2 linked regions of the Schizosaccharomyces pombe genome follow. The protein of the gene in region 1 purifies or fractionates together with the protein of each later gene. This does not show direct contact. Each region holds a gene or a part of one and is shown on either strand. Other genes may lie near its edges.

Region 1 (4,493 bases):
GACTTGTTAATAGCTGGAATTTTTCATGGTTGGATTTTAGCGTTGTCAACGTGCCGCTAAAAATTTACTTTAATTTTATGGGTTTCTAATAGAATGTTGTTATCTTCGAATTTTTAATTCTCCTGTTTCGGTACAAATATTGAATTTATGGAATGCATATAAAATTTATATAGGATATATGATGCACTTGTAAGGTGTCTACCGTAATGATAATTTTTCACATCTGTACCGGTGTATAATATATTAGTGAAACACCAACTTATCGACATTAACATTTTAATAAATTATCTACAAAGGTCTAAACATAAATGATAGCATGTTCAGTAAATAAAAAAAAAACATAAGACCATGAAAGCTAAAACATTGTGAAGCTGATGTATGAGTAAATTTAAAACTTGTGCGCAAAAAGTTAATCGTCAAAGCTAGATATGTTAATAATCGAAAATTTAACAAACAGCTTACATGTAACGCTCAAGTAAAGCACAATTTCCTCCATTTTTAAGATTTACTGCGAACCGATAATAGTGTCCTGAATAAGAAGCTACTTGTATGTGCGGACCGCTGCTCGAAAAAATTATTTTTCCATAGAAAGAAGCTTCAGGAATCTTAGCAGTTGCAAATTCTTTCCTAGTGTCCCAAACTTTTGCTACATTTGAAGTTAAATATTTTGACCAAGAAGATGACACAGTTACGGAAGATGTAGGAGACGAATTCGGATCCGATGGTTGCTTAGAGATTTTGAAAACGTGAATAGTACCATTTTCAGAAGCACAAGCCAGAAAAGGCTCAACTGGGTGAAATGAGATAGATACAATGGATGCAGGTATATATCCCCTGCGCAATTCTGTCACCAATTCACCATCACTAGTTGTTATAACACGGATTACAGTTCCCTTTGCGGATGCAGTCGCAATCAAATGTCCACGCGGATGAAAGTCAACTACTTGGACAGCGGAAGAATGGCAATGAATCAATGTGACGGGTATTGCAGTATCCAATGAGGCTAAATAAATATCACCAGGGTTGGTCGGTGAATTATATGCAACATAATTCTCATGAACAGCAAAAGCTATAACATTTCCTTTCGAGGTATTTAGAGTATTAATTAATTCCATGTTTTTTAGATTATATACGTAAATACTCCCTTTAATTAAAACAACTAAACGATTCCATGTGAAACGTACACTTAGCACAGGACTCGGATAAAATATTCGGCATAAAACGATATCTCTCTAAAAATATGGGTTAAAATTAAGAAATCAATGCAGAATCTCAGTTAACTAATTACCTTGATGTCAACCAATTTTAGTAACCTCGTCGACTCAGGGGAAATATTCACGAAAGCAAGTAGAGAAGATTCATAAAGCATTTCACAAATACTTGCCCCATTGGCTTCTACAATCAGTAAGTTATAAGTCGTGTAAGATGGGCTTGTGTTTCCACTTCTCGGAAATTCATTGACAGCTTACTTTTTGAAAAGCACAGGGTAAACGGATTGGAGCGATAAACTTGATAGCCATTCTCAGAACCAATTGATAAAAAGCTAAATTTAGCAGTCAGTACAAAGATTGCACAAAATCTATTTTATGTGTGCCACTTACCCACGATCTTGATTCCACGAACAGTAAAGGATAATCGATGGCATTTCTCTTAAATCGACTGTTAATTTATTTAGTAGTTCACATTCACCCCTGTCTTAATACAATTGCTGATCACGTTCAATGGTAAAAGTAAAACAGATTTGTGCTAAGGCAGTGTGCGTAATTGAAGCAAAAAATAATGTGATTCGTACAATGCAAAAGCTTAACTTTGTAGTATCCAGAATATAAAAGAACCCATTTGAGCCTTTAGCAATTTTGATTAATGAATGTTTTTGTTATGTTTGTATTATGCAAGATAATATATACAGTGGTGCAGCGCTCCTTAATGGTCACCTCTACGCACATTCAAGAGCGTATATCTTGGCAACATCCAAATGTTGAATAAAACTTTTTTTGGGAATTCATGAATTTTTATTGTTTTGGTTAAATTTAAATATTAATGGATGCCGTTGAACCTTCTGTGGAGAAGGAATACAAAAAAATAATTTCTTTTAGAGATACTGTGTTTGAAGGGAAACATCAACAATTTTTGGTTCCGAACAATGTTCGTTTAAAATTTTTAAGAGATAGATTACATAAATCTTTAAAAAATTTTGATTCTGTTAAACGGAAAGTCGAAATTGCAAATGATGAAGGTAATAACAAACTCCTGAAATCATCACCCAAAGCACAAACCAGAGATGAAAATACTCCTTCTGAATTTAAGAATGGAGGTTTTAGTAACAGAGAATCTATGTCCGAAAACTGTTTTTCTAAATCATCTACTAATTTACCACGGCTAGACATTAACCGTGATTTTAATTCCTTACTTAATAGTCAAACAAAACCTGAAGCCACTGGTTTGATGAAAGAGGATATTACTCCCGTTGTAAACACTAGCAAACAATCTTCTACTGGGACTCAAGAGGAGTCCTCAAAACCGGAAAAATCTAATAAATTGTTAGCAAAGAGTACTTTATCTTTGTATGGGAATCAAGCTTTTAATCCTTCTTCAGTTCTTCCTAGCAATTCTTCATCAACGCCTAAGGAAAATAAAAAAAATGTGAATAAAGAGACATATCAACCGAACACTTTTCGCCGTAGTCCGTTGAAAAATGATACTGGATCAGTGGAGTTATCAAACCTGTATATGCCGTCTCCACCATCATCTGCGCTTCCCGTATCGCTTGTGTCAGCTCCTTCTCCTCCGAGGGCAACTAACGTTGCAGTCCCGTGTCTTAAACATTTGGAATCGAGTGAGCAGGGCAATAACCTACTTATTAACAAAGCTTTTACTTCTCCTCGCCTTCCTTCACCTCCCCAGTCAACAAGACCTAGCTCTACTAGGTTTCCTTCGGTTCCTTTATCAGATGAAAAAAACTCAATTGTCTCCGTAAAAAACGAAGAGCCGTCTGTCATTCTGGGAAATCAATCACCAATTTCGGATTTGCATCCGTATTCTCCATCTTGGATCCCCTATCCAAAGGAATTGCAATCGCTACAAGTCAATCGAATACCTGAGTTGTCCTTGGAGAACAATGTCATGTCAACTCGGGATTATAAGGATATAATGCCTCACCCTCGTCCTTCTGCTGTCCTTTTAGATAAACCGGTTTCTTTAGATCAAACTTCTCATCCTTTCCCTCATCAAAATACTTATATTCTACCTCCGGGGATAAGGAATTCTGTAGACTATGACGGCACTTTTCTTTCCCGTAAATCGCTTCCTCCTTATAATGGCATTCATCGTCTTCATGAGAGCCCTTCTCAGTTTTCAAATCAATCAAGATATAATTGGGAGCCAATTTTAGAAAATCGCTCCCTGCTCCATTTGAATCGTCCGCCTCCTATTGAAACGCACTATTCATACGAATCTAACAATTCATCGTTTTCTCCGTATTACCATAAACGGCATAGACAGATTTCTCCATACTACCCCACTTCCTCAGTTTATGGAGTTTATGAAAGTCCGCCTCACATGTCTGATTCTCGTATTTCTCGGCAGCATATGCCTTTAACGCATACTACTTATGAGCCTTCTGCGCCTTATTATAACGACTATGAATTAGCAGAGGAAATTGAGAGGCGTCGTCATCATAGCTTTTATGATTATTAGCTATACTCTTCCGTAAGTGCGCGCAACAATTTAAAAATTGCTTGGCGGAATATTTGAATTTGCATGTTTTTGTTTTAACTTATAAAGAAAATTAAGTACCTTTAGTACTGGTAATGTTTGATGTACATTTATTATAGTAGATAGAATATTCATGTTGCATAAATTGGTTTCGCACTTTCAGTTAACATTTTCAAATTCATTTATACATAAATACTTTTTTAGATGATTAATAAGAGGCGTTTCATAAATAGTATAAGTACTTTGTAAGCCTATTCTAATGGATGTGAATAAACAAAGAGACTATGGATTATGTGAATAGTTATATTACTTTCTTATTCGATAATCAAATTTTAAAGCTCCCAAATGCAAGATTATTGAAGAAATTTTGAAAAAGTTTCTTTAGTTAACATTAGCATGTAAAAGACACATAAACCCTAATTGACTGTAACATAAGAGACCTTTTACTTACGTCTACAGCGATTATTCTACTGGACTTAATAAAAGCAAAATTCGGACGGTCGAAACAACTCATTTAGACGTATGAGTCTATTTATTGTAGGTTAGCTTTTTGAATGAATATTACATATCATTATTTTTCTCTTTCTTTCTCTAACTACTAAAACCTAGGGTACTCATAACATCAAAAACTCAGCAATACAACTTTTAAAGACGAAACTGAAAAATGAATTTTTAAAGGGCGTTAAATGTATTACTAAATATCCCGAAAATGCACATAGCATTTTTAAAGTTCAAGAATATACTGGATACAAGGGAGTGACCTTTATAGTATCTACCAA
Region 2 (4,520 bases), on another chromosome or scaffold:
AGGTAATATTATTTGAAAGAACAACATTTTTGGTTATTTCTTCTTATTCTTCTGAGTCCAATCCTGCCACTGATGCTCACAGGTTCGAAAAAATTAGCAATATTGTTAAGCAATTTAAACTCAGTTGTAGCAAAATGCAAGCTCAATTTACTACTTTTGAGCTTCGTGGTGGTAATTTCTCTGCATTCATTGTTCCATATACTGAGGACACATACATATTGGTGGTCATTGCTGATCCAGAAATCGAATCAGCAGTAACCCTTATGAACATTCAAAGTGCTCGACGATTTATAGAAGCTTCAAAGAGCGCTTCGGACGGTATTCAACTGCAACCTTAATTTTCCGTTTGATAGATCCATCAATCTTGTTCTTTTTTCTTTGATAATCGTAAAAAATGTGGATCTAATGTATTTTACTCTTGTTGCTGTAATTACCTAGCCTCTTAGTTTTAGTCTTTAAAAAATAATATTCTTTATCAACTAGTTGAAATCTTTTTCTATTTTCTTTCTAAATCTTATGATATTTTTTAAAAATTTATTGTATTCAATTAATAGAAAATTATAACTCATTATCATCAAAAGTTTAGACATTGCGTAACTACACGATAATTTAATTCTACAAGATCAAACTGCTAAACGAATTATCTAAACGGATATAAAATCCAAGTTGCTTTCTAAGGAATTACTTCCAATTTCCGATCCAGAGTCTTCTGGATTTATAGAACCAGCAGTCTTCGATATTGGAGCTTCTGTTTGTTCTGGTACATCAGCGGAAACAGCACCATGATAGAGAGAGCATTGTGGATTATTACACGAACCAAACATAGCATAATCGGTACACTGAAGAATATGTTGATTTTTGCAAGACGTCCCTAACTCACAGAAACCGTACTTGGCAAATTCAAAACATATAGGGGCATTTTCAGAGTAATGAATGTGCACATATCGACAATTTGGGTTATTGCATTTTCCTAATAGAAAATACCGGCATGCAGGAATTCGTCTGGGATCTAATTCATGTGACAAATTACAATCTTCTGCTTTATTACATCGACCATTCAAAAATTTCGGACATATCGTTTTGCGGGTGGGCTCATGCACGAATCTGCATGCTGCTCCCTTCCCACAAATTCCATTAGCATTATAATAACGGCAATAAACAGCTGAAGGTGAATTTCCAACCTCCTTGAGAAACCTCTTCTTTTTAAGAAGATAAGACTTATTATTCCAATATAAATATTTTGGACATTGTCCCTTAGCACTAACAAATTCCAACCACTTGGTATCAGATACACCGGTAATATACTGCAGTCCGTCAATAGTTACTAATTGTTTAGTACCATCGGATAATCTTTGCTGGATTTTATTTTCGGCTAAAGTTTTGTATTCTTTCTCAAGCTTGGCTCTGTAGCTCTCCAAATTAGCTTTTCTCGCTTGCAAATCATGTTCAAGAATATTTTTTTTAATCAGTTGCATATGTCTGTTTTTCCGTGATACATAGTCAGATGTGGATTGTTTTTCAGGTTCCTTATTGGCATCGTCTGCATTCGATGATGTTGACGGTATCACATATGGAGGGCTAGCAGCTGTCGATTTCGAGCGATTGGATTTATTGAGGATAAAAGAATAGTTCCTAGAAACAGAATAGGGATACGAACGAGTATTCTTATTTGCTTTAGCGGCATCTAAAACCTGGGTAGGTTCTGCTAAAATCATGAGTCAAAGTTCCTCATAAATGGGCATCTTACCTTTTTCATTTTTATATTGATTGATAGCACCTAAAGGTTAGTTATATTATTACTGAGCGTTTCATAAATAAAGAAACATAAAGATATTTTTTTGCATAAAATCTGTCTCCTTGAAAATCCTAATTATTCATTGGTTTCAAAAACCAAAAAGCTCATTAGTTAAACCAATCCAACTTCAAAGTCGACCAAATTTATTCTGTATAACAGACAATCAAAAGACGTTAATACAATTTAATCAAAACGTACCAGCTAATGAAGCAATATTTTCCAGCAATTGTTGCTCGTTCATTGTGAATGCCGCCTAGAACTAATAAATAAATATAACGAACGGATGTTTTTTTTTGTAAAATAAACCAACAGCTTTAATGTCTTTTATTGAACTTGAATCGTCCAAGTATTTCCTGTTTTAAACCACCACTTGATATATTATGCAAAAGCTCTTGTTTGCTCAATGTTTTAAAATGAGTGGTTTTCCACTTTAATGGTCTTTCGTTCTATAAGTGAATCTTTTAAAAAAAAGTCTTTGAGAACCTTTCCTTAAACAAAACTGTTTAAGTTAAATGCCCAAATAATTGAACGACAACGATTAACCAAGGTCTTTACTTTTTTTAACGACAGGCAAGAGCTTATATGTTTGACAATGACCTTTTTGAAAACGTCGTTACAAAAACAAAAAAACTATGAAAAAGTCCTTGAAATAAATTCTTACAGTAATTAGATGTGGTAAGGTATTTCTAAGTCGACAGATTAGAGTAGCGTAGTCGGTGGCACCAACAATGTCGGAGTAGCATCAATGTAATTACCGACGCTTTATAACGATATTTTAAAAAAAACTATCTTAAATTATCAGTATTAAAACAATATTGCTTTAATTATAATGAAATCCTTTTTACTTAATTTAAATAATCCTTCTTTAAAGCGTAGCTCAAAATTGTTTTTTTCATTAACGAATAGATACCTCTTTATAATAATAATAATAATAAACGATATGAAAGATCAAAGCAAATATTTATAGTTCTTTTAAAATTTACTGATTATACAGAAAAAACAATTTGGTAAGTCTGTATTTCGGACGCTTAATTTGTGCTCATAGTAATCACAAACTTTGTAGAACATTCATTCATAAGTTTTCTATATGAATTTATACATTCATCAGTAAGAGATGTTTCAGCAATTTTCTTGTTTAATACCTTATATTTCCCTGCTTCAAACTTGGCGACCATATTCTTTAATAGTGAGTTTGATTCCACTAACGAAAGTAAGAGAGAATTGCACCCAATAATCTTCAGATTTTTGCGATATATTTGTTTCATGTCATACGAAAATTCTATACTCCCTTGCTTAGGTGCGGAAATATAAGACAACCTTCCCCCTATTCCCAATTGATTGAGAGCCGATTTCATCAACAAAGGATCGCCCACCGTATCGATTACCACATCAACTTTCTCAACCAATTCGTGGACCCTTTTTAATTCCGGATCCACCACTGTATTGATATCGGTTGAGCCGCTCCTAGACACTGTGATTACCTTACATCCCCAATCCTCTGCTATTTGACAAACAGCCGACCCGACAGCACCTAAGGCTCCAACCACTAGTACTATATCGCTGCCTTTGGTTTCTCCTCTGCTTAAAGCCAAATAAGCGGTTGTAAAAGGGACACCGACTGATGCTGCCTCAGTAAACGACAAATTGCTTGGCATACGAACAGCTGCTTTTTCCGGTATTATGCAGTATTCAGCATGAGTACCGTCTTTAGTGAATGATAGTTCGCTACCGCTCGTTCCAAACACTCGAGTTCCTACTAAATGAGATGCGCCACTAATTACAGTACCAGCATAATCTCGCCCAACGATTCGAGGATAAACAGTATACGGGAAACCCCCTGTTGCGTTCATTAGATCACTGGGGTTGATGGCAGCAGCTTCAATTTTTACAAGCAACTCTCCATTCTTTGGTTGGGGAATAGGAACACTCTGAATTTCAATACCCAAACAACCTGGCTTCGGTTTTTTTAACATTCGTAACGCCTTCATCATTTGATAGTATTGCATTTAATAAATCCTTCTTTTTGAAGTAAAAAACCCTCTAGTCTTACATAAAGTTATCATTATTATCTTATACAGTCGATATGTAATTTGTATATGACACCCACGGCAAAATACGAATATCAAATTTCTCGAAAAAACACAGGGCTAAAAATATTTGACTATTAAATGTAAATTACCAAAAAAATGGTTCTCAAAGCTGGAAATAGTTGCGTGCAGCCAAAAGTACAACACAAGTTTTCACTTGACCCGACATTTCAGTCGATTAGCCGGTGATTCCGTTGACTTGTTCGATCAGTATGAACAAAGTAGAAATCAATGACTTACCGAAATGCGCAGTACTTCATAAGCATAAATAACGATATATAAGAAAACCACAATATTGTTTTAGCTATATGCCTTACAGTGCCACATGATTGGATTCTATTCATTTTAAGACATGCTGACGGATTACCAATCAACAGGTTAAATTTACAGCGTCGCCACTTGTGGTAAATAGAATTTAACAAGAACAAAATACTAATCATTCCTTTTTTTTATTGTTTGAGTATTATTTCTCTATAATTGATCATTTCATAACGTTAAGGCGTGGAAATTTTCATATTATATCTACAGATAACTTTTTTGTTTATCCGTTGATTAAAAGAAAAATTTTACCACTTTCAGACCGGTAAAAGGAAGACAGTTTTTGACTTTTTTCTAATTGTCTGTACATACGTTACAAC

The links. The genes of interacting proteins can lie anywhere in the genome.
Region 2: the proteins of iss10 (region 1) and red5 purify together in Schizosaccharomyces pombe (affinity purification with mass spectrometry; 2 studies listed by BioGRID). This does not show direct contact.

What each region holds. Positions count from the first base shown.
Region 1 is NC_003424.3:2,609,060-2,613,552, forward strand, and holds iss10 (protein Iss10), read left to right. Parts: upstream 1-1,966; 5' UTR 1,967-2,040; coding exon 2,041-3,696; 3' UTR 3,697-3,943; downstream 3,944-4,493. Other genes in the region: phosphatidylinositol-3,5-bisphosphate binding protein Atg1802, read right to left, coding at 410-422, 463-1,232, 1,289-1,395, 1,470-1,543, 1,602-1,645; SPOM_SPAC7D4.13C (uncharacterized protein), read left to right, coding at 4,237-4,251, 4,324-4,493.
Region 2 is NC_003423.3:1,049,596-1,054,115, reverse strand, and holds red5 (zinc finger CCCH domain-containing protein), read right to left. Parts: upstream 2,514-4,520; 5' UTR 2,037-2,513; coding exon 1,994-2,036; exon of another isoform or gene 1,920-1,993; intron 1,784-1,919; exon of another isoform or gene 1,778-1,783; coding exon 1,748-1,777; exon of another isoform or gene 1,703-1,747; coding exon 645-1,702; 3' UTR 501-644; downstream 1-500. Other genes in the region: Gtr1/RagA G protein Gtr1, read left to right, coding at 1-338; SPOM_SPBC337.11 (peptidase), read right to left, coding at 2,824-3,801.